Linked DNA regions of Mus musculus. The protein of the gene in region 2 purifies or fractionates together with the protein of the main gene of each other region. This does not show direct contact. Links are inferred from orthologs where the notes say so. Each region holds a gene or a part of one and is shown on either strand. Other genes may lie near its edges. The genes, in order: Dbt, Ppm1k, Bckdhb and Bckdha.

What was found.
Region 1: the proteins of Ppm1k (region 2) and Dbt purify together in Homo sapiens (affinity purification with mass spectrometry; 4 studies listed by BioGRID and IntAct, counting the BioPlex papers as one, with this or other methods). This does not show direct contact. The link is inferred for Mus musculus from reciprocal best matches to the Homo sapiens genes PPM1K and DBT.
Region 3: the proteins of Ppm1k (region 2) and Bckdhb purify together in Homo sapiens (affinity purification with mass spectrometry; 3 studies listed by BioGRID and IntAct, counting the BioPlex papers as one, with this or other methods). This does not show direct contact. The link is inferred for Mus musculus from reciprocal best matches to the Homo sapiens genes PPM1K and BCKDHB.
Region 4: the proteins of Ppm1k (region 2) and Bckdha purify together in Homo sapiens (affinity purification with mass spectrometry; 4 studies listed by BioGRID and IntAct, counting the BioPlex papers as one, with this or other methods). This does not show direct contact. The link is inferred for Mus musculus from reciprocal best matches to the Homo sapiens genes PPM1K and BCKDHA.

The regions. Positions count from the first base shown.
Region 1 is NC_000069.6:116,536,298-116,542,147, forward strand, and holds part of Dbt (lipoamide acyltransferase component of branched-chain alpha-keto acid dehydrogenase complex, mitochondrial), read left to right. Parts: intron 1-2,791; coding exon 2,792-3,008; intron 3,009-3,357; coding exon 3,358-3,524; intron 3,525-5,850. UniProt on the Homo sapiens protein: The branched-chain alpha-keto dehydrogenase complex catalyzes the overall conversion of alpha-keto acids to acyl-CoA and CO(2).
Region 2 is NC_000072.6:57,531,358-57,537,762, reverse strand, and holds the start of Ppm1k (protein phosphatase 1K, mitochondrial precursor), read left to right. Parts: upstream 1-2,275; 5' UTR 2,276-2,483; intron 2,484-6,405. UniProt on the Homo sapiens protein: Serine/threonine-protein phosphatase component of macronutrients metabolism.
Region 3 is NC_000075.6:83,922,929-83,929,573, forward strand, and holds the start of Bckdhb (2-oxoisovalerate dehydrogenase subunit beta, mitochondrial), read left to right. Parts: upstream 1-2,208; 5' UTR 2,209-2,241; coding exon 2,242-2,431; intron 2,432-6,645. UniProt on the Homo sapiens protein: Together with BCKDHA forms the heterotetrameric E1 subunit of the mitochondrial branched-chain alpha-ketoacid dehydrogenase (BCKD) complex.
Region 4 is NC_000073.6:25,628,017-25,633,071, reverse strand, and holds the end of Bckdha (2-oxoisovalerate dehydrogenase subunit alpha, mitochondrial), read left to right. Parts: intron 1-1,227; coding exon 1,228-1,434; intron 1,435-1,588; coding exon 1,589-1,730; intron 1,731-1,900; coding exon 1,901-2,072; intron 2,073-2,638; coding exon 2,639-2,809; 3' UTR 2,810-3,220; downstream 3,221-5,055. Other genes in the region: B3gnt8 (UDP-GlcNAc:betaGal beta-1,3-N-acetylglucosaminyltransferase 8), read right to left, coding at 3,756-4,925. UniProt on the Homo sapiens protein: Together with BCKDHB forms the heterotetrameric E1 subunit of the mitochondrial branched-chain alpha-ketoacid dehydrogenase (BCKD) complex.

The DNA.
Region 1 (5,850 bases), on a different chromosome or scaffold from region 2:
GGCTATCCTCATAATCTCTACTCCTCTACCTCAGTCTTCAGAGCGCTGGAATTATAGGCAATCCCCACCGTATTCTGCTGAGCACAAACCTGGAACACAGACATTCCAGATCCAAACTGCAGCCTTTTCTGTGCTGTGTGGTGGCTAACAGGCCTGGCAGCATGGCTCCCTGACACTGATAGGAATTTAGATGTCTCAATTAGCCTCACAGATAAGGAGCTACTGTGAAACCTACAGTGGGACGGTTGCCAGCGCAGTCACACAGCCAACAGTGCAGTGAGGCCAGAGTTTATCAGGGGCTGTTGTCGCCTCAGAAGCGCTGGTGCCGCACAGCAGCCTTCCCATCCATTACCTCAAGCTTCTCCGTGCCAGGCCCCAGACACGATAGCGCAGATGTTTACAACAGCCCTCCAGGGTGTTTGGATCCTCACTGTTGCTGGTGAGAAAGGACCGGGAGGTGTGTTAACTTGTCCAAGCCCAAAGTAAGTGGCCGACCTGGGAGACTGAGGCGAGTTCTGTTTACACAGCTGAGTTCTTCCCACTCCGCTGTGATGCAGAGAATTTCTGAGAGAAGTATAGTTGTTACCGTGAGGGGAAAAAAAAACCCAAAAGTTTGTATTGTGCGCATGTGTAATTGAGCTGTGGAAGTGCCAGGACAGTTCTGCTTGTGGGGAGGACTCTGTGATGTGTTCTGCCTTGTGTTCTCAAGAGCAGATGGTCCACAAACTGATTTACACCCCAGCCCGTGTTAGGGGTTTTAAATAGGAGCTATATATCTCAGGCTCACTGGCACTTCCTATTGTAGCCCAGTCTGGCCTTAAATTCACAATGCCTCTGCTTCCGATTATAAACCTGGGTTACCACAGCTGGCTTCTCTGTGGCTTCTCTTTACATTCAGATTTTGTTTTTGTTTTTTAACTTATTCTTTTCATTCAGTACATCCCTGTCAGAGTTTCCCCTCCCAGTCAATGTTGTCCCTCCATACCCCCTGCCCAGATCCACTCCTCCTCATTTCCCTTCAGAAAAGTGCAGGCCTCTCAGAGACATCAACCGAGCACAGTGTAACAAAACACCCTAAGCCTGGGGACAAACCCTCCCGTCAAGGCTCTGCAAGGCAGCACAGTAGGAGGAGGACAAGAGTCCCTGGAGCCGGGGAGAAGAGTCAGAGACACACCCATTCCCACTGTTAGGAGTCTCACAGGAATACCAAGCTTACAACCCGATCATAGGCAGAGGGCTAGTGCAGACCTTGCGGGCTATGGGATTGCTGCTTCCGTCTCTGGGCTCCTGTGAGCCCTGCTTGCTTGTTCTGTGGGCTGTGTTCTCCTGGTGTCCTGAGCCCTCCGGCTCCTACACTTTTCCTTTCTATCTTCTGTGGGGTTCCCCTTGTTCCCAGGGTAGGAACCCGGTAGAGATCTCCAATTTGGGCTCTCTTTCCACCTAGTGTGTCGCTGTGGTCTCTGCACCCACTCCTGTCATTGCCAGAGGAAACCTCTGTGATGACACTGGGCTAGGCTCCTGTCTTAGTCAGGGCTTCTATTCCTGCACAAACATCATGACCAAGAAGCAAGTTGGGGAGGAAAGGGTTTATTCAGCTTACACTTCCATGCTGCTGTTCATCACCAAAAGAAGTCAGGATTGGAACTCAAGCAGGTCAGGAAGCAGGAGCTGATGCAGAGGCCATGGGGGGATGTTCCTTACTGGCTTGCTTCCCCTGGCTTGCTCAGCTTGCTCTCTTACAGAACCCAGGACTACCAGCCCGGTGACGGCACCACCCACAATGGGCCCTCCCCACTTGATCACTAATTGAGAAAATGCCTTACAGCTGGATCTCATGGAGGCATTTTCTCAAGGGAGGCCTCCTTTCTCTGTGATAACCCCAGCTTGTGTCAAGTTGACACACAAAACCACCCAGTACAGCAACCGATAACGTTCATATCTTAAAAAAAAAAAATCAATATATATTAACTATACAAAGTAGTGAGTTTCACTAATAAGCAATAAGAATATATGAGAAGGAATGTCAGAAATGACTCAACGGTAAAGATGCCTTGCTGCACAGAGGACCCGGAGTTGATTCACAGAACCTACATGTCAGCCAGCAGCTGGCTGTAACTCTGGTCCTAGGGGATGTGGCCCATACCTCAGGAGGCAGAGGCAGGTGGATCTCTGTGAGTTCAAGGCCATCCTCACCTACACAGTAAGTTCCAGACCAGCTAGGACTATTCAGAGGGACCTGACTTTAAAAAAAAAAGAAAAACAAAGAAAGAGACAAAGAATAATGGGGAGATTTAGAGACTTTGGAGATTTAAATGGACAAATGAACAACAGTGTGTAAAAGTAACAACTGTGTGTAAAACTGTGTGTAAAACAGTGTGTAAAAGTAACAACTGCTTACCCAGAGGTCCTGAGGCTTGTTTCTTAAATGATGAAAATGTTCCTCAAACAAAGTTACTGGGGAAAATGTTTACATATATATATATGTATTATATGTGTGTGTGTGTGTGTGTGTGTGTGCATTGGTTTTTCAAAACAGGGTTTCCCTGTGTATCCCTGGCTGTCCTGGGCTGCAGGGCTACTCTTATTTTTTAAGAATATGTGTGTGTGTGTGTGTGTGTGTGTGTGTGTGTGTGTGTGTTTAGCCCTGGCTGGCCTGGAACTCAGCCATCCGCCTGCCTCTGCCTCCCGAGTGCTGGGACTAGGCTTGTGCCATCACTGCCTGGCTTTTCTGCTCCATCTTTAAACGTTGATGGTAAGTTTATTCTTAACACCAAAATGTATTCTGTTTTAGATTAAGCTGAGTGAAGTTGTTGGCTCAGGAAAAGATGGCAGAATACTTAAAGAAGATATTCTCAGCTTTTTGGAAAAGCAGACAGGAGCCATACTGCCTCCCTCACCAAAATCTGAAATCACACCACCTCCACCACAGCCCAAAGACAGGACCTTTCCCACGCCGATAGCAAAGCCTCCAGTGTTCACAGGCAAAGACCGAACAGAGCCAGTGACAGGTAACAGCAGTGATATGAAGCGGTGTAATTTACTTTGGGGAATTGTCTCAGGAGACGCATCTTCATCGTATGATATTTTTGATTGCCTTTTGAGCCTGGATCTCACTGTGTAGCCCTAGAACTCCATATGTAGACCAGGCTGGCTGTGTACTCACAGAGATCTTCCTGCCTCTGCCTCCCCGACGCTGGGGATTAAAGGCGCGGACCACCACGCCTGGCTTTCAGTTCTCACTAACAGAAAATTTCAAACTCATCATGAAATTACCATAATACAATGGTACAGTTTTTCTATTTTTGTATTGAAAAATAATATTGTCAGGTTTATATAAAACGACTGGCTTTCTTGTAGGCTTCCAGAAGGCAATGGTGAAGACCATGTCTGCAGCCCTGAAGATTCCCCACTTCGGGTATTGTGATGAGATTGACCTTACTCAACTGGTTAAGCTTCGAGAAGAGCTGAAACCTGTTGCTTTGGCGCGTGGAATCAAACTCTCCTTCATGCCCTTCTTCTTAAAGGTGAGTTTCACTCATCCCAGGCCAGGCCCCAGAGGGGATGGTGCCACTTGGTCTTGTAAAGATGCAGCAGATTAGAATTAAAGTACTGCTTTATGCCATATCGTCAGACTTGGGGGGAAAAAAGTCCAAACGCACCCTCTTTGATTCATAGGAATTTATACAGTTGAAAGCTGTATTATATTTTTAATCTGCTTACCTCTTTCTCTAAGATTTATTTTATGTTTAAGTTACATTTACCTATTTATTTAGTGTGTGTGAGTGTGCGTGCTGTGTGTGAGTGTATACTTGTGTGTTTATGCACTCAAGTGCACTCAAGGGGACAACTTATAGGAGTCCGTTTTCTTCTTCTACCTTGTGAGTCCCAGGGATTGAACTCGGGTTGTCAGGAGGAAAAGTGCCTCGCTCAGCTCACTGAACCACCTCGCCAGCCCAAGAGTTTGTTTGTTTGTTTGTTTGTTTGTGTTTGAGGCAGAGTTGCATCCCTGGCTGGCTTGGAACTTATGATGTAGACTGCTTTCAAACTCAGACATCAACCTGCCTCTGCCTCCCAAGTGCTGGGATTAAAGACATATACCACAATGCCTGGCTGTTTGTGTGTGTGTGTGTGTGTGTGTGTGTGTGTGTGTGTGTGTTTGTGTTCATGTATGTACCCACAGAGGCTAAAAGAGGGTGACAGTCAGATCTCCTGGAGCCAGAGTTAGCAGGCAGTGGCGAGTCATTCAGCTGGGGTCCTCTGTAGGTGTAGTGCATGCTCCTAAGTACAGAGCCGTCTCCCCACTTGAAGCTAGGAAGAGAACCCTGCTGACAGTTGAGGGAAGCCTGAAAGAGAGGGGAAGAGGAAAGTTCCAGTTTGAGCTGAAAGGAGACATGAAGTGGCCACACATAACAGTAGTATTCGTTTCCATGTCTTCAACACATCCACGGGGAGGCTTCTGAGTGTGGCACTGCTGGGTCACTGGCAGTGACATTAACAGCCACTGCAAAGCAGCTACCGTGTGTCAGGCTTCGGTAAGCAAGCTCCAGACAGCTATCCCTTACATCTCAGTGGTATTCCAGATGTGCAGATAGTACATTCTCCACTTCCCTCTGAAGAAAACTGGGCCTCAGAGTGGCTGACAGTCTTCTCACGGACGTTCTAGTCTGCTCTGGTCCTGCTCTGGCCTCTCCTCATTCGACATGGCTCCTCCCGCCCTTTCTTCACAGTCTGCCAGGACAAATCATCTTTCACTCAAATTGAATCGGATCCCGATTCTTTCAGCAGTTTCCCTTCAGTGCCTTTAGGATGATTTCCCAAGTCCTTAGTGTGGCCTACAAGTCTCTGCTGGCTACCCCTCCAGTCTCCTCAAAACCACTCTCTGCCCACTCTGTTTTAATCACATTGAGCTGAAATATCCACCAGGTCTCTCCCTCTGTCTCTCTGTGTCTCTCTGTCTCTGTCTCTCTCTCTGTTTCTCTCTCTTCTCTCCCTATTTTGTTTTGTTTGTTGTTTTTTGCAACAGTTTCACTAGCTAGCCCAGGCTGGCCTGAAACTCACAGTCCTGCCCCAGCCTTCCTAGTGCTGAACTGAGATTACAGGCATGAGCCATCTCTCCTGGCCTCCTCTTTCAAATATCTGTGCATTTTAAATATGGGATCCGTTCAGATATAGACTCCAGAATCCCTCTGTGGCTCCCACTGTCACCACATGCTATTGCTGCCCACTGTGGTGCGCTTTAGTGTGCTGCTGTTGTTAGCCTGGTTCCCTTCTCCAGATACTGAGCCCCTGAGACACAATGTGTTCTCCTTTAGCATCTGCCCTGCAAATGGATAATCTCTAAGCATGGAAGGTCATGGATGTCTCCAAATGAAGGTGGGGGGAGGGCATCTGGACTCTGTTAGGGGTAGAGAATCACCTATAGAGGTGTCACTCAAAGTTGTGTGAATGAGAGGGCAGCTCGGGGCTTTACAGCAGTAGGTAGAACCTGAATTAGCAAGGAAAGTGGTGATAGCATGAGCTCCTTAGAAGACAGATAATTGGTTTCCATTACTGTATAGCAAACTAACTACTCCCAAATTTAATGGAATAAAGCATCGGTTGTTTATGGATTCTCATGAGGTAAACTGGGTATGAGTCTGCTGACCTTGGCAGGAATCTCTCCCTTCTACAGAAACTTGCAGTTGGCCAGAGGGTGACTGTTGTAGGAAGGCCCAGCAGGGATGGCCCCTTCTCTTCTGTACTGTCTTCCTTCTCCTCAGCGTGCTCCTCTGTCTCAGCCCTGGAGCAGGTGAAGAGAAACAGCAGAAGTGCTGAGGCTTTTTTGTTCCCCATTCTGCCTCCCAGGGAAAG
Region 2 (6,405 bases):
AACAGAACAGGCAACAAATCTCACCAGAAAGTCTATAAAAGAAAAGGCCTGGGTGTGTAAATGCTTCAGAATTAGGTGGTGCTGTTTCTGCAGTGCGTGTAGGAAAGACATCAAAGATGCTCTAGAGAGAAAGGCTCTGGGCAGTACTGCATAGTGAATATGAGTTCAGTGTCTTCACACTTACCTCTCATGAGAAAGAAGCGGAGAGCCTGGCTATGAAGAGAGACATAGCCAAGTAGTCCCAGTTCAACCTCTTGCAAACTAAGTGCCTCAGCCCACTTTTTCAGTCTCTTTATCCAGTTTCCTTAGTTACAAATACAAATGATAGTAATTAATTTTCTTTGTTTTTTTTTAAAAGATTCATTATTTTTAATTATGTCTATGGGTGTGGTCAGTGTGTAGGTATGTGCCTAAGAGGGCTGATGTCCTTGGAGGCCAGAGGCATTGAACCCCCAGAGTTATAGGTTATAAGCTGCCCTACACATGAACTGGGAATCAAACTACAGCGTTCTGGAAGAGTAGTATGTGTTCTGATAGCAACATGAAAAAATACATCTTACACATACGTTGTTGAACCAGAGAAGCCAAACAAACAAAAAGTATGTGTAGGTTATGGTTTAATACATACCAAGTGTAAAGACAAAATTAATCTACTGTGTTAAAAGTCAGCGTGGAGGCTGCCCCTGGACAGAAGCAGTAATGGGATGCCCGGCAGGATGAAGGGTCCCTTGGGGACTAAAAACATTGTTTCTTGATCAGGTGCTAGATATAAAGTCAGGCTGTATGTTGTGAAGATCTCTTGAGCCACACTCAATATGCACACTTTTCTGTCTATATGCTGGATCCGGTAACAATTTCAAGAGCTTTATGAAAATTGATTCTCTATCCAACATAAGCCATTGTTAGATTTAGTGAGTCACTAACACAAATATCACTGTCGAAACATATTATTATTAAATGCACTGGGTCTCCAGATGCTCTTGGACCAGGAGGTGCAACTAGGCAACACAACTTAATTATTAATTTTAAGAATATTTTTAATTAAAACTTATTCCATACATGCATTTTGAGCAATTCTTTCCCCTTCCACAATTCCTTTCAGATCCTCCCCACTTCCGTACTACTCACTCAACTTTATGTATGTTCTCTCTCTGTCTCAAAAAAAAAACCCAAAAACAAAAAACAAAACAAAAAAACAAAAACCCAAAATCAAAACAAAAACAACCCAATTAAGACTTAAAAAGTGGAGGTGGGGGGAGCTGGTGAGATGGCTCAGCGGTTAAGAGCGCTGACTGCTCTTCCAAAGGTCCCGAGTTCAAACCCCAGCAACCACATGGTGGCTCACAACCATCCGTAATGAAATCTGATGCCATTTTCTGGAGTGTCTGAAGACCGCTATAGTGTACAGTGTATAAATAAATAAATAAATGAATATTTTTAAAAAGACTTAAAAAGTATCAAAACAAAACCAAAACACGCACACATAAAAAATCATGGAGTCAATTTAGTGTTGACCAGTATTCCTGTGCATGAAACCTGCCCGGGAGTGTGCTGATACAGCCTGAAAGGCATCTGCTATTGTCTTCTGCTCAGATCCATCCTGCCTTGACTAGATTCAGCGCGGTAAAATCCGCTGCCCAGTGTTCTCCAGCCACACCTGAGCCGTTCCCTCTTTAGACGTGATTTGTCTTTTACTGTTTATTTGTTGGCTTGCTTCCTCATCTTCCTTATTAGACCGAAGGTTCTAAAGGCAGTTATCTGATTATTTGAATCAGTTTGGACCCCCAGATCCAAGGCAATGCTTCCTTCAAAAGACGGAAATCTTTTTGGCATGCAGGATAGTCGCGAGCCATCCCAAGATGCCTGTTAATGCAGTCCGAAGAACATTGGTTTGTGATTTGTCAAAGAACACTGGATGACGTACAAGTGCTACACTCAAGCAAAGCGTGGCTGTCCGAGTCTCGATTTCTTGGGTCAGAGTTAAGATAACTTTGGCAGAAGTGAAACTCCCTCCTCCAGTGGCTGGCGAAAAGCAAGGTCCCTGGTGCCTGATTCGAGGCCGCCAGGCCCATCAGGAGGGCGGGGCGCCAACGTCGAACAGCTACTGGCCCACTTTGACGTCGCTCTACGGCGTTTAATTGGCAATCTGAGAGGTCAAATTGCCTGTGCAGGAGGCTCGTTCCTATCTAAATCTGTAATTGGCTCAGATTGAGGGCGGGCAAAGAGTCTTTCAGAGCACCAACTGGCTAGTGTTGCTGTCAATCATCGGAAATACACTCCTCCGGGTCTCCATTTGGCCAGCTGCGGTTGATTTTTTTTTATTTTCCGAGAATTTCCAGGAGTGGAAGAGACTGTGGCTTCCCTAATTGCTTGTTCTGGAGATCATAATCAACAGAGAAGTCAGTCTAGTTTATCATCCAAGAAATCCTTCCCTTCCTTCCATTAGCCAATTAAGAAATTTACAGACACCTACCCATCACAAGGTAAGAGCCTAAGGAGTTTAATTCGCTTATTCTCCTAGGTTGTTGACGAGACATTGGCGGTCTCCGGAGGTCCCCGGGAAGGCGAAAGAGAAATATGAAATGAGTTCCTGCAGCTTACTCTGTCTGAGACCGAGTCCCACGCGCATCTCTCTGGGTTCGATGTGCTCCCTTTTTCTGGAAGTGGAAAGCAGCTGCTCTCGCCTAGGCCCACGGTGGCTGCGCCCGAGCATCCGGCTCCCCCAAAGCAGCCTTGGTCGGCCTTGAACTTGACCTCGGGCTGATAGTGAGCCCCAGGGAAGCAGGGATAGAAAGATGGGCGGGGTCCCAGGGAGAGAATGAGAAAGCTAGCAAAGATAACAGAACCCTGATTCACTGCAGCGAGACCCTTTGGTGCGCTCCTGCCCGCGAGAGCAGGCATAGCTGCCTAAGAACTTGGGATGCCAGATCTCAAGAGCTCAGGAGAGTGTTGTCCTGCCGCGTCCAGCTTCGTTCAAGGCCAGCAAACCAGCCCACGATTCTATCCAGCCCAGGCTTGCAAAGGGACTGGTGTAGAGAAGGATTGCGGAGCCCTGGTCGTTTGGATCTGAGAGCTTGTGTTTTGCTTTGCTAGGAGAGCACTGTATCTTAGGGGCATGTGGCTCCTGGCGCAGGTTTTCGCAGACGCTTTCTGTAGATGAGAGAATTTACCCGGAGGAGACAAAGATTGAGGCTCTGGGTAGAAATAGCTAGGAAATTTCGACTCTCAAAAGCTCCACCGGTTTTCGTTGTAGGAGCTGCAGGAATAGAAACTGCGAAGCCCCCAACCCCCAATGTGCATGTCAACCCGGCAGAGCAGATGTAGCCTCTGCTGGACCTGTGCCCTGGTGAGGAAACCTGGGGCTCTCTTGAGATCGAGATCTGCAGGGCTTGGCGGAAGGGGCTGTGTTGCCCTTCTAGTGTGTGTTGGAACTTGTGGAAATTGGAAACCAGCTCACCACACTGTATGACAAATGTCATAAAATAGGAAGCTTTGGATAATGGGCTCTTGTTTATAATTGTTTTTCTTGCAATCCGAGTCTCTTTTTCCTTGTCTACATCAACCCACCCCCTTCACAGAGTTGAGTAACACTTACTTTTCAATACTGTATTCTCACTTCGCCTATGAAAACAGACTCTCACATACAACCGAAGGGAGTTATTGACCGTTTTGTTGTTTTCTTTTCTCCAGTAAACTAACATTTCCTTTCCTCCTAAAAGGCGATAAAGGCATCAAGAGTGCGGATTTCCTAAAATACATTTCTGAGGTTTTCAGATGATTTTAGTTGTTTATTGGGGTGCACTGGGGTTTTGTTGTTGATGGTGGTAAAGAAATTTGGAGTTTAAGAGTGTTAAAAATCGGGCCGATGATGTTGCTTGACCACTAAAGGCCTCTGCCTGCTTGCACTGGCCTGCACTTCCCCCGGGCTCACATACATGTATGTATGCATACATACATATCAAAAATTATCTTGTGTTTCCATTATGGAAAAATACCAAAGTGCCACTTTCTAGTTACCTCACCAGCTTCCTGGAGGGAGGAAACTCCAAGCCCTCTGCTGACTGCCAGAACCCTCAGTCAGTTAATCCTGCCGAGTTCTTGTGTAAAGTGATAATAATAAACTTCCCCTTTGAATAGTTTTTGACATTCAGATTCCAGTGCCAAAACCTGCTATCGAGATAGGACTCCTTTTTCCAAAAATGAAATTGAAAAAGCTCAGGGGTTAAACTGCTGAGCAAGTAAAACATCTGAGAAATATGAAAAGGAAAGTTGGTGCAGTAGTCTTGCATCTGCATGTGTGGGTCCTTGTGCTATGAAATCAAATGGTGACTGGCAAACTTCACAAGGCCCATGAGTTGAGACTGGGTGTTAAGTAGTCCAGACTGGGCATTAACTCCTGATCCTCCTGCCTCCATCTCCTAAGTGTTGGGAATCAAACTCCTTTGGCCTGAAGTTGTTGTTCTGGAAAAGTGGGTTTCACAGTACTGTCTTGAAGATGATCTCACAGCTTCTTAAACTTTTGGGGCTGAAATTTCTGCTAAATGGAATTACTTATATGGCAATAACATTGTTCTAACATTGCAATTCTATTTATTTCTTTACTTCTTAACTTGTCAGTTTTAAAGTATCAGGTTGAGGAGGAAGATGGGGAGAAAGACATAGTCACACAAATCAGGAGGAAATGGTGGAAAAGGCGTATTTTCAGAAATTTATAATAGAGAACATAATCTAGAATGCATATTTTTAAAAGATTTATTTATTTTATGTATGTGAGTACAAGGTCCCTCTCTTCAGACACAACAGAAAAGGGTGTCACAGATGTTTGTGAGCCACCTTGTGGTTGCTAGGATTTGAACTCAAGACTGCTGTCAGTGCTCTTAATCGCTGAGCCATCTCTCCAGCCCCTAGAATGCGTTTTTACTTTTGGACATACACAAACATATTTTTAAAGACTGATGTGGGGTTGGCGAGATGGCTCAGTGGGTCAGAGCACTGACTGCTCTTCTAAAGGTCCTGAATTCAAATCTCAGCAACCACATGGTGGCCCACAACCACCTATAATGAGATCTGACCCCCTCTTCTGCTGTGTCTGAAGACAGCAATAATGTACTTATTTATAATAATAAATAAATTAAAAAAAAAGACTGATGTGGTTAAGTTGTGATACATTTTGTTTTGGTTGAGAAATAAGAAAGAATTTGAAATAGTTCGGGCAAGATTACCATTTTTCCTTTTATATACAATTACCAATATATTTTAGATTGGTTATGTTTTATATCTAGGATTCCAGGCAAATTATTTTTCTTTATTTTTTTCCTTGGCATAGTTTAAAGTTTATGCATTGTTTGTGTATATGCTTTGTACATGTTCCATTAGTTTCCTGGGATATTTTGTGTAGTATCAGGAATGACGGATGCTTCACTTTGAAAGCTTACATATAATTGTTTAAATGGTTTACTAACATCAGTTAGCTTAGATTTCTAAACCACAGAGTGGCATTCCTGATTATAAACACCTTGTTAAGTAGCTGCTTCTTAGTGGAGAAGCTGATAAGCTTATCCTGGCTCAAGCTCACTGAGCTGATAAACATAGAGACTGCTTAGGCCCCTGTCAGGTTGTCCTCCACTCTTTTCTAAGTGTGGTCTTTCACACTTCCACTCTGCCCCTCTCATCTGCTGTTCAGTTCATGGCTATTTTTGCTGGCATTCCAAGACCTCTCAGGCTGATGATGCTGTGTTTTGTTTTTCCTCAACTTGAAGCAGGAGAAATCTTTCTCAGTGTAGACCTTTGTTTGGTTTGGAGTAACGATGCTTCTCTGTCTCTGTCTGTCTGTCTGTCTGTCTGTCTGTCTGTCTGTCTGTCTCTCTCTCTCTCTCTCTCTCTCTCTTGCTGTTTTGTTTTTTGTTTGGTGGGAACTGGTTAGATTTTTGAATTGAGGGTTTTCAACCAATAAGCTACAACTCTGGGTTGTGAGCAGGTTTAATTGAAAGTCCTCATGTAGCTTGGGAACACAAGTTGCCTTTGAATAGTTTTCTTGGGTCTCTGAAAGGGATCAGTGTGGTATAGTTGTGGTGTGGCTGCAAAGGAGAGGGAACCACATAAATCTCCTTGCGTAGGTGGTACTGACCTAGTTCTGCATCACTGAGGAGCCAGCTGTATAGCTCCTCACACTGAACCTCTGCCAACAAAATGCTCTCCAGCAGTTGTTTATTGATAACTGCCCTGCTGCTGACTTTCAAAAGTAACAGTGTGGATAATATAGAGCAAGGTCAAGTTGATGATAAATGTTAGAGGCTCAAAGACACTCTCCACTTTTACCTTATCTTACCATCCAATAATATGTCTTGTGGATATTTGTTCTCCGCTGAGACTGCAGTTGTGTTTATCATTTAATTGTTATTTATT
Region 3 (6,645 bases), on a different chromosome or scaffold from region 2:
GTGTGTGTGTGTGTGTGTGTGTGTGTGTGTGTGTATACGTACGATGACATCTTGTGGAGGTCATAGGGCAACTTTCAGGAGTTATTTCTTGTCTAACATGTCATCTTTAGGTATTAAACCCACGTTATCAGGATTAGCAGCAAGCTCCTTTACCCTCTCAGCCATACCCTAGTCCTTTCAACTCAGTTTTCATTGACTAACTTGTCTTTTTAAAACCTTGAGTTTAAAGAGTGCATATGTATAAAACAATAAATCCTGTTACAAACCCATTATTAACTGCCAAATGTCTCCAAGTTTCTTCGTTCTGAAGGCCACATTTGCATACTTCCTAGCCACCCCGGAGCAACATTTTACTCTTCTGTATGGCACGCTAGCTTGAAGGTAGTGATATTCCTCTGGATCCATCTGCAAAGAAAGTGTTACTTTTTTACATATAGTCACTGAATCAAAAGAGGGACGAATCTCAGCAGAAGTAGACTGAAGTGAAGTTCTGTGAGAGAAAACGAACCAAGAATCATTCTGAAGAAAGAAGAGCAACTGTGATGTCCATTGGCTCCATCTTCACAGGCTCTCCGTGTCCCCAGGGATTAGTCAGAAACCCAAGTGGAAATGGCTCAAACAAAGAAGATAGCCCATTTGCAGCATATTAAGGTGTCATGAGGAACCCAGCCATCAGAAATTCCAAATGTAGTCAGTTTCATCTTTTTTTGGGATTATCAAATTACTGAAAACTTCCAATTTTTGCACTTCCCAGAGGCATTTAAAGATAGCCTGACTCCCTGAAAAGAGAGTTTCCCAAACGAAGTTCAATGCAGCTGGGGATGGGGGCAGGCAGAGGCTCTCAGCATAGGAACAAGACATTTCTTTCCTTGCCCTGGAAGACACTTCATTCTTTCACGACAATGAGCCTTTGCACCCACCTCACCTGTTGTGGAAGACTATGGTTCTCTGTGCTCTGCTTTGGCAACCTCTAATCCTCTGGGTGCAGGTCAGCCTTACCTCTGGAAGCATTTTGACCTTCAAGAGCTTGTTTCTCTTCATGCTGTTCTAAGTCTCTTACCACATTTGAATGCCACTGTCTAAGCTGTCTCCTTTGTGTGCATTTCTGAATACGTAGAATTCCATTTCTACTCTTACCCCGTGCTTCTTAGCTAAACCTAACATCTGTTAAGAGGTCACAAATACTACAGGAGGAATGTTTCTTCCTGGCTCCTTCCTCTCTGTTCTCTCAGTCTGTCATAATACTTTCTCCATTCTGGAATCCTTCCTCGAGATCTAGACATACTTTCTTGCCTCTGTTGTATTCTATTTTGATGGCTATCTTCCAACTCATGGCTAAGGAAGATAAATAAATACACACACACATATCATATATATGATATATATGCGATATCATATTTGATATGTATGTGATATATATGATATATATAAAACACTTAAATATTTTAAGATAAAATTTATAAAGTTGATTATTTTGACTTTAAATCAGTCATTCAACTTGCTTTTTTTTTTTTTTTTGGTTTTTTGAGACAGGGTTTCTCTGTGTAGCCCTGGCTGTCCTGGAACTCACTCTGTAGACCAGCCTGCCTCTGCCTCCCAAGTGCTGGGATTAAAGGCGTGCACCACCACCGCCCGGCAACTTGCATATTTCTAAGTTACACAGAGTAAGACCATTAGGTGATTTTTGCTGCACCTCGACTTTAAATTCCTAGTGGATTTGAAGGCCGAAATCTCTACTTACTATTTTTTGATATGATCTAAATCAGGATAAGCAAAATCAATTTTAAAGATTTAAATATATTTACTATTTCAAAATAAGAGTGAAGGCCTTTCCCGAATTCTAGATTTTTTCGGAAACTCGAAACCAACGCCTGTCTTTGCAATGACCATATTGCACTTACAGACTATGAGAAACACAGCCTAAAACGAAAACGCTACTGAAAAATGCACCGCAAAAATGACACTGCGAAAGAACACAGGCAGTCGCGTTGTGACACCCCAAGTCCTGCAGCTGATTTTGGGGTGGGACCCAGGGACCACATCTCAGGCTGCAGGGGCCTTGGTATGGCTTCCGTCTGGGCGGGCCGCCAGGTCATAGCGTCTCCATCCCCGCCCCCGAACTTCCGTCTCCGATTGGTCTCTTTCACGGACCCGCCCCTCGAGGCTGCCCAATGAGGAAGCCTGCGTCTTAGCTCCTCCCTCCCTGCCGGCAGCGTGGGCTGCGGTGCCTGAGAACTGGGGATGGCGGCGGTGGCTGCGCGCGCGGGTGGGCTGCTGTGGCTCCGGGCTGCGGGAGCAGAGCGGCGGCGGTGCGGACTGCGCTGCGCTGCGCTGGTGCAAGGCTTCCTGCAACCCGGGGGCGAGGACACGGCCCAGAAGCGGCGGGTGGCCCACTTCACTTTCCATCCGGACCCAGAGTCCCTGCAGTATGGTGAGATTTGGGGATCTTGCTGCATCCCGGCTCTATCCTTGCCTTGCCCTAGACTCTAGACTCTACTCTAGAGCCTCCTTGGTTCGGGTCAGTTTGCGTTCCTGTTACTCGTCCTTGGTGATTCTTCCCTTCAGATGCAGCCCCTGGAACTTCAAGATAGGTGAGAGGGCACTCTGCCTTCTGCTAGGGCCTGAGGGTGTAGAGGAGTTGTCCAAAGAGCGCTCCCCCGCCCCCTTCCCCTGAGTTCTATCCATGCTTTCCCCATATCAGGTCTTAGGTGTTAGCTTGTCCTAGACTGAGTCACTAACTTGAGGCAACTGTCTGTAAAACACTTGCCTTTTAATTTTCATTTGAAAATGTAAACCTAGGGAGTAAATACTAGAATTTGATTTTCTCAAGGTCACGAGACAGGTTCTGCCTAAAGATGGGAAAGAATCCAGACTTCTATTTCAGCCTCATACAGAGCTCCTGCTGGGCCCCGCTGTCACCTGGCCAAGCAGTATTCCATAGAGATGGTGGAGAAGAGCGAACAGAAGGGAATGGGGCAGGCTCCTGTCCTGCCACCTTTGCCTCACTCTGACTGTTTCTCCTGTAAGTTTTATGCAGTCGCCCTCCATCCTAGGTCTAACTGCAGAGCACCAGGAGAAAGTAAGGAAAACCTACACTGTTTTTTTTTTTTTTTTTGTCTAATAACTTGGGGCTGGCAGTTTTTGGAAGCCCATCTTTACTTGTGAACAATAATGGAATATTTAACCGAAAGCTTGCTATTGGTGAAATTTACATTCCTCATCTCATTTAGTTCATAGGACAAGATTTAATTTCATGTGAGGTAGGTCATGTTTTCATGTTTGCTTTGCAGTTAGATAAACGGAAGCCTTGAAGCAGATTATTCAACAGTACACAGGACATAAGTTCATGAGACATAGCGCCAATGGTCAGAATCTAGTAAGCAGGATTCCAGACTTGCCACTCCACGGAAGGCAATAAAGAGGCCTTTAGAAATAATTTCAATGACGGGGTTTCCCAGTTTTGTGAAATAGTAGGACTAGAAAGATGAACAGCAGTTCGTTTTTCCCTCTCAGCCTTCAGTACTGTTTTCACAGCAAAGAAACTTTGGCCTGGTAATGGAGAAATAGAGCAGAGGTCTTCCGAATTCTCCTTTCCACAGTTGTGAAATTACTAAAATCCGAGTGATGTCATGGCTCTAGGTTGTTACTATAGAAACAGTACAAACATCTTACAGATAAAAGGCAGAGTTTAGAAAAAAGTGACAACATGATTGCACCTCTCATGGTGGATGCTGCTAAACCTTTTGAGGTTCATTCTTCCAGAGCTCTGTCTTTTCCACAGTTGTAGTTTTAATACAAGTCCAATTTGCATCAACTAGAAAAATAACTTCCTGTACTGCTGTAGAGTTTTGTTGATCTGTAGAGTTCAGTAGTGAGAGTCAGGGTCTTGAGTTTGGTTTTGTCCCCATCCCCTGAGACTTTTTTTTTTTTTTTTTTTTTTTTTTTAGAGACAGGGTTTCTCTGTGTAATCCTGGCTGTCCTGGAACTCACCAGGCTGGCCTCGAACTCAGAAATCCGCCTGCCTCTGCCTCCCGAGTGCTGGGATTAAAGGCGTGCGCCACCACGCCCGGTTCCCCTGAGACTTTGAAGTCCTCACTTCTGCAAGCCTCACATCTCTGTAATTAAGGGATTAATGATAATAGCGATTTCAAAAGGAGAGGAGAGCTGAGGGCTGAATAAAATTTATGTATATATATATATATATATATATATATGAATGAATGACACAGTGTTTGCCATCTTGGAAGTAATAACGCAGTAAAGGGAAACTTTCAATAGACAATACCATGCATTTGTCATAGTTTCACAGTATTAGAAAAATCACACACATTTCATGCATGTGGCTCTCCTGCCCCCAATGATAGAGCCCTAGAGATTAGAGTTCTCACTCAAAGACATGAATGGTTTAATGGAGTTTTTAAATGCCCACTTTGAATCCCCAGTTTACCCCCAGTGTGTATAAGAGTGTTCAGTGTAGTAAGTGTGAGAGTGTGTAAGAATGTGTAAGAGTGCCGGGTGGTGCACACCTTTAAGCCCAGCACTCGGGAGGCAGAGGCAGGTGGATTTCTGAGTTCGAGGAGGCCAGCCTGGTCTACAAAGTGAGTTCCAGGACAGCCAGGGCTATACAGATGAACCCTGTCTCAAAAAAACCAAAAAAAGAAAAAAAAAGAAAAAAAGAAAAAAAAAAAGAATATGTAAGAGGAATGTGTAAGAGTGTGCTAGGGGCTAATGATGCTGAAAAGCCCAGGCACACAGCCTTGGGATTTTGTGCTAACTTCTGCACTTGTGTTTGCAGCTCTTTCAGTCTTGCTGAGGAAAGCTCTCCCATGTATTAGCTCACTGGTTCATGTTCTTTTGTGACTTGAATTTGCTTTTTTTCTTTCTTTCTTTCTTTTTTTAATATATTTTGAAAATTGCACCTTTAGTCATGTCTCCTGTTCATGTCAACACTGTTCTATGTTGTTGAGCAATTGCTTTTTATTCAGCTGGTGTAGGCACGAAGTCTCTTAGCTTGACAACCATCATGTGCGTTAGATGGTGTTTGTGTTCACTGTACAGATGAGGCAGTGGAGGCACAGAGAGACTTGTGGTCTTCCCAAGTGTGGCGAAGGGCAGAGTCAGCTTCCAGTCCCATTGTGTCCGACTCTTAAAGTCTTACAAATGGGTTTAGGTGTTAAAACTTTGCATCTTACGCCCGTTAATGAAGGTTCGGATTCTCTGTGCTTCATGGGTGCTACAGATGCTTTCCGTTCATCCATACTGTTTGATTTCACACAGAAAAGGTCCTGCTTCAGTTGCTGACTGGGGCCAACTTCTTTTAAGGTGCACAGTGGCCTGGAACAAGGACTTATCTTTGCAAAGACCATGGGAGCATTGTTTTTCAGGCAGGAAAAGACCTTTTGTAGGCTCTTTCTGTGCTGTATCAACAGAGAAAACCTCTGCGATTGAGATGTTTCTAGTAGTGGGGTAGGCAGGTCCCGTGATGATCAGGGGTAAATGAAGACCTTTTGTTGATGGGGCTCCCCTTTTTTATGGGATAGGAATAGCATGAATAAACTCGGATTAGTAAGCATGATGTTTCTTTGTGCATTGGGAAGTGAGTTTATTTGGAGTGAAAAAGGAAGACATATGAAAGATGGAGGCTTTAATATTCAGTACAAAACTTGGGGAGAGAAAGTAACACATGTCTAAGGTGCACCTCACAGTGTGATGGGTGCACTGACTTTGGTTCAAATTCTGTTGGGCTCTGGGAGACCTTCGTTTATTTCTAGGAGACAGGTGATTTGCAATGTTTTTGTTAGTGGATGGTATCGCTAGATGTATAGCAAGGAGCTGAGAGACGAGCTTTGAATATTGTCATTGCCTGGGTGAGTACCAGAGGGTAGTAGTAATACGAGTCATGTTGACCCTGTTTTACCTGTGGGTGCTGGGGAAGGGAGCTGACGATGATGTAATCGTTTGTAGCAAGAGAGACTAAAGGATGATGTGGTATTTTTCATTTTACCCAGACAAAAGTCAATGTAAGGGAGGATGTATTTTGGCTTACAGTCCATCGTGTCGGGTAAGGCATGGTGGTGGCAGCAGCTTGAGGAAGCTGGTCACAGTACATCTGCAGTCAGGAAGCAGGATGGGATGAATACTGATGCTCAACCTTTTTTCCTTTTCATGCAGTCCCAACCCAGCAAATACATTCATGCTGTTGGCATTGGGAGAGGGTCTTCCCTCCTCCACTAACCTCCTCTTGATGACCCTTCACAGGTGTGTTTTGAGGCTTGTTTCCTAAGTGATTCTAGATCTTGTCAGGTTGACAGTTGGTACTAGTAAGGGGAAGGAGCCAGGACCACTGATACAAGTAGGGAATTCTGGGGTAGATCTCCATCTTTGGAAAGTGGGAGGGCACCTGATGGAGACTTAAATTTTACCGTGATTTGAAGTATTGATGGATGTAGTACTGTGAGGCAGGCTGTCTGAATGTTAGTCTGCTATTGAGACAACTTGATGGCAAAGTTGGGAACCCTTGAGGCTAGATAATTCTTTCTTTGACCCTTTGGATTTGGCATAACCCCAAAACATGACCCTATGAGACAGGGCTGTGAGGAGGTCATGTTATCATCCACACTTTAAGAATGAAGATACTGAGACACA
Region 4 (5,055 bases), on a different chromosome or scaffold from region 2:
TCATCATGACCCTGCTGAACTTCCCAGACTCCTCCTGCCCAAGCTAGCATGGCCAGGCATTGTGTCGTTGCCACACTCAAGACTGTCTAATGACACTGTCGGTGGCTGGGGGGTAAACCTAGCATGTACAATTGTCCCTGTTGCAAAGACCAGAACATTGAAGCTGAAGAAGGAAGTGACTTACTAGGGACTTGTGGTAGGGAGGAGGGCAGGAACTTACTCATGGGTACTCGTGACTGCAGAGACCACGGTCTACCCTGCCCTGGCTAGCCTGGACCTCAAGTGGACTTCCCAGAGCTGGGGTGCCCTGAGGCTCCTGTATGCTACCGAGACTGCCAGGGTGCTGGGCCTGTGCCCACACAGCACACAGACCAAGGATTGGCTCTCTTATGGCCTCCTGGGCCCAGAATCTGATAGGAGGCGTGTGTCTCGGTGTAGCCCTGCTGTTGAACCAGTCTGGGTGTGTGGCTTGTGTGGCTTGTGTGTCTGCAGACCTCCTGGGAGAATGTGGGAAGCAGAGCTGTTTATTATGGTGCACCAGAGTCCCTTATTCAGCAAATGTATGCCAGGTGTCACCCTAGGCTTTCTGAATAAGACAAATGTCAACCCTGTTCATACTGATGCTGTCTTGAGGGAGAGGGGGCATCAGGGAAGAGTGTGAAGAGATGGTACCTGGAGTGCTTCGTGCAGGTGACAGGAAAGGCAGCACAGAGCCATGTCGAGGGGGCAGTAGCAGGGGCATCACAAGTGATTGAAAGGCAGACTGGAAGTCGTGTGGAAGGGAGCTGTGTGGGCACCTTGAGGCAATCGTGTGTTTAGTTGTGACTAGACCAGGGGACTAAGGGTGGGGAGTACTGAGCACTCGGGGCTTAGTGGCCTTTCCTATTGCAAGGACTTGGCCCACAGTGGCCTGAGAGCCCAGAGTTAGGAAGGAGTCTGCCAGACTCACACTTAAGAGTCCCCTGGCTGCGGCTTGGCCTTGGTGTGGAAGGTCCAGATCTGGCTATCCTCTGAAGGTGGCTGGCATACATGTAAGCGTGACAGACAGGAGTCAGGGGTCACACCCTAGGTACCTGGAGACAACTTTCCGAGCCTGAGTCTGCGTGCGTGTGTGGTGTGTGTGTGTGTGTGTGAGAGAGAGAGACAGAGACAGAGACAGAGAGGGAGGGAAGGAGGGAGGGGCAGGCTTATTCCTACTCACACGCTCTCATCTGTGTCCCTGTGCAGCGGTAGGGGCAGCCTATGCTGCCAAGCGGGCCAATGCCAACCGGATTGTGATCTGTTACTTTGGCGAGGGGGCAGCCAGTGAAGGGGATGCCCACGCCGGTTTCAATTTCGCTGCCACCCTGGAGTGTCCCATCATCTTCTTCTGCCGGAACAATGGCTATGCCATCTCCACACCAACCTCTGAGCAGTACCGTGGGGATGGCATAGGTAAGGGCCTTTCTCTTGCTGCCCTCCTTCCTGTTCTCTCCCTGATGGTGTCTGACAGTAAGGGCACAGGGGGCAATGAGCAGAGCACACCCTTCACTCTCCTCTTCCCCTTTCTTCTCCCTGAGGCCTGACTGGCATCCTCTCTGTCCTGCAGCGGCTCGGGGCCCTGGGTACGGCATCATGTCAATCCGTGTGGACGGCAACGATGTGTTTGCTGTGTACAATGCCACTAAGGAGGCCCGACGGCGGGCTGTGGCTGAGAACCAGCCCTTCCTCATTGAGGCCATGACCTACAGGTGCCTGTCTCCCTTCCACCCCTGCAGCTCACAGGTCTGACAAGCTCTGTCAGCACCCCCCCACGTGTGGCCTGGTCACCCCATGTGCACTCCCTTCCTTGTGCCACATCACTCCTGTGTCCTTTTCTGACACCCCGCCCCCGGCTGATCCACAATCCTCCCCTGAGCAGGATTGGCCACCACAGCACCAGTGACGACAGCTCAGCGTACCGTTCGGTGGACGAGGTCAATTACTGGGACAAGCAGGACCACCCAATCTCGAGGCTGAGGCAGTACCTGCTGAACCAGGGTTGGTGGGATGAGGAACAGGAGAAGGCCTGGCGGAAGCAGTCACGAAAGAAGGTGAGGGCCCATTGGAGCCCCAGGGTGTGCTCCCGATGGCTCTGCACAGCGAGAACTCTGGGAGAACAGGAATAGAGGACCTGGGTATATTCACACTGACCCAGGCAAGCCTTGTCCTCATGCGTGGCTCATAGAGCCAAGCCACCTGGACCATATGGCCTCAGTGACTCTTCACAGTGGAACCCAGGGCTAGTCATGTTCCTGGGGTATCTACTTCATAACTCAGTCCATGTAAAGTGGTATGTCCTACCTGGGCTAGAGCTAATGTCACCCTCTGTGCACTTAGAACAGGCCTGTTCTGGCCTCATACTGCACCGTGGTCACTAGCTCAGCTCTGACTCCGTCGCCCTGAGGAATCCTTTCCTTTCTCTGCATCTTGCCCTCCACTCCTGTTCCCTCCATTGCAGAGCTGAGCTGACAGTGCAGGGCCAGGACCCTGCAGGCTAGGCTCTGGAATGTTCATTAACACCAGTCTGAGGCCTCAGAGGGGTGAGGCTGGACCGTGGCTTGTGGTTGGGAGAGGGCAGGATGAAGGGGACAGCCACTTACTCCCTCATGTCTCCCAGGTCATGGAAGCCTTTGAGCAGGCTGAGCGGAAGCTAAAGCCGAACCCAAGCCTCCTCTTCTCCGATGTGTACCAGGAGATGCCCGCCCAGCTCCGCAGGCAGCAGGAGTCGCTGGCACGGCACCTGCAGACTTACGGGGAGCACTACCCCCTGGACCACTTTGACAAGTGAGGCCCTAGCCAGCACAAGGGGGTCCTGCTCTGAGTGGATGCTGCCCCCTGTGCTAGTCAGCTGTGCGAACATGCTGAGCAGCCAGGGTGGCATTCCAGGGTGACTTTTGCTCCTGTTCCTGCTCCCCCAGGCTACTTCACTGGGGCACCATGTTTGCAGCCATTGCTGCGGCTACTTCACTCCCTTCACCTGTTACAGTGCCTTTTAGGGGTGGGAAGGGACCAGGGCCAGGGAAGACCCTCTGGGCAGGGTGGCCCTGGGCTTGCCCAGAGAGATAGCTGATTGGCAGAGTAAGTAAACCACAGGTCTGCCTTTGACTCTGCTTCCTTCGTCTCTGTTTCCTCAAGTTTGGGGGCTGGGGTGTGTATGTGGAGAGGAGGAGAGAGCCCAGCATGGCTGATTTGGTTTGGAGTGCTGTTGTGTGTTTGTGTATCTACACAGTAACTTACTGGGACTTATGATATTGCTTTAGCTTCTAGTTCTGGGACTATATCGTATATAGCACCACACCAGCCTTTGGGGACATCCTGGCTTCTTAGGCAGAAAGACTTGGAAATACCTACTTCTATAAATGTTCCCAGGCTAGAGGGCAGCCTTGGCATGTATGTGGCCCCTCCAGAGAAAGCCCTCCATGACCTGGTAGATGCATGATGTCCAATGAGGTGTCCAGGATGCCCCCTGGAACCTGCCAGGCTAGGCTGGGTGAGGGCAGAGGGGCAGCAGCATCTGCCTTCCCTGCAGGGGTCCCATGGAAGAAATCGCTCCTGGCCTTGGAGTAGGAAGGACACATTTTTCAAAACCATAAAGTAGATAAACACAGTCTGCCACCTTGGCTAAGAAGGGTTTAGGAGAGACTCAGGCCAGGTCAGCCCCACCCACCCCAGCTTGTCTCTAGGAGAGACTCAGGCCAGGTCAGCACCCACCCACCCCAGCTTGTCTCTGCCGGTCAGCACTGGAGCTCTGGGACCCACAGATGTCTCCAGAGCCAAATGGTGTCCTGAGGGCTGACTGGATGCACCAAGAGCAGGCCTCGCACGGCGCAGGGGTCCCTGGTACGTTCTGCTGGCCAGGCTGTGAGGAAGCCTGGATGGGCACGGGGTGCTAAGCCCAGGGCACGGAAGCAGAAGCCAGTGTAGACATCATCAAAGGGGAAGGGTGCCACGCGAGCTGCCGCCTGCAGCAGCCAGGGTGCCAGGCGTCCTGAGATTACATAGCCACCTCCACTCGCATAGGCTGGATAGTCCCCTTCAAAGAAGGTCTTCGGCACATAGAAGGGTCCTCCGGGCTTGCGGAGCGGTTTGGCCTGGGTGAAGATCTCACCCAGGTAGAGGCTGCGGGCCCAGGTGGGTGGCAGAGTCTGCAGGTGCTCCAGTAGGGCTGGGATGTGCACAAAGGCATCATCCTGAACCTGCAGGACAAAATTGACATCGGGGCAGTGGTGGCTCAGCCAGGTCAGCAGCAGCAGGTCCTTGAGTGTCCGGTTGTAGGGAACATCCAGGAAGTCCCAGAGCAGTAGGTCACCATAGCGCCGGCTTTCCCACGTCACCAGTGATCTTAAGTCAGGCCCCCCCATTCCTAGGGGGGACCCCAGCAGGAAGAGCAACCGGGTCCCAGCAACTGGGCTGCCCCAGGTCTCCCTCACAGCCTGCCGTGCTGCAAAGTGTCCTGGTTCTGATTTGACAGCCAGTAGCAAGTAGGGTACATCCTTATCAGAGCAGCTGGCCACAGGGCTGCCTTCTCCTGCAGGCAGCCATAGTGGAAAGCTCCTACAGGCCGCCGACAGCAAGAAGCGCCGAAGCTCCTGGGGGTACAGGATGAAGTCCAAGATCTCCGAGGCAGCAACAGTCCCCCAAGTCTGACAGTCCGTACTGGGCAGGACTCCCAGCTGCCGCTGCTGCTGGTTCCAGTAAGCAGAGGACAGTGGGCCAGTCTGACCCAGGCGTGCTGAGAGGTTGGTGGGCAGAGTGGGCTCAGCATTGGGTGGTGTGGGACTGGGCAGAGCGCCCCGGGGTTCAGCCTTTTTAAGCCAGGACTCGGATGTCCACTCGATGTATACTTTGAGGCCCAGGAGTGTGAGCAGTGCTGACAGGCAGAGCTGGCACTTGCGGCAACGCATGACCCGGCCCAGGGAAAGGGCCACCAGTGGGGCTGCAAGAGTCACAAGGAGCCACAGAAGTCTTTAGGGTGCAGGGTGGATCTCCAAAGACGGCCCAGCGAAGCCCAGGCAAGCAGCCTAGGTCCTACCC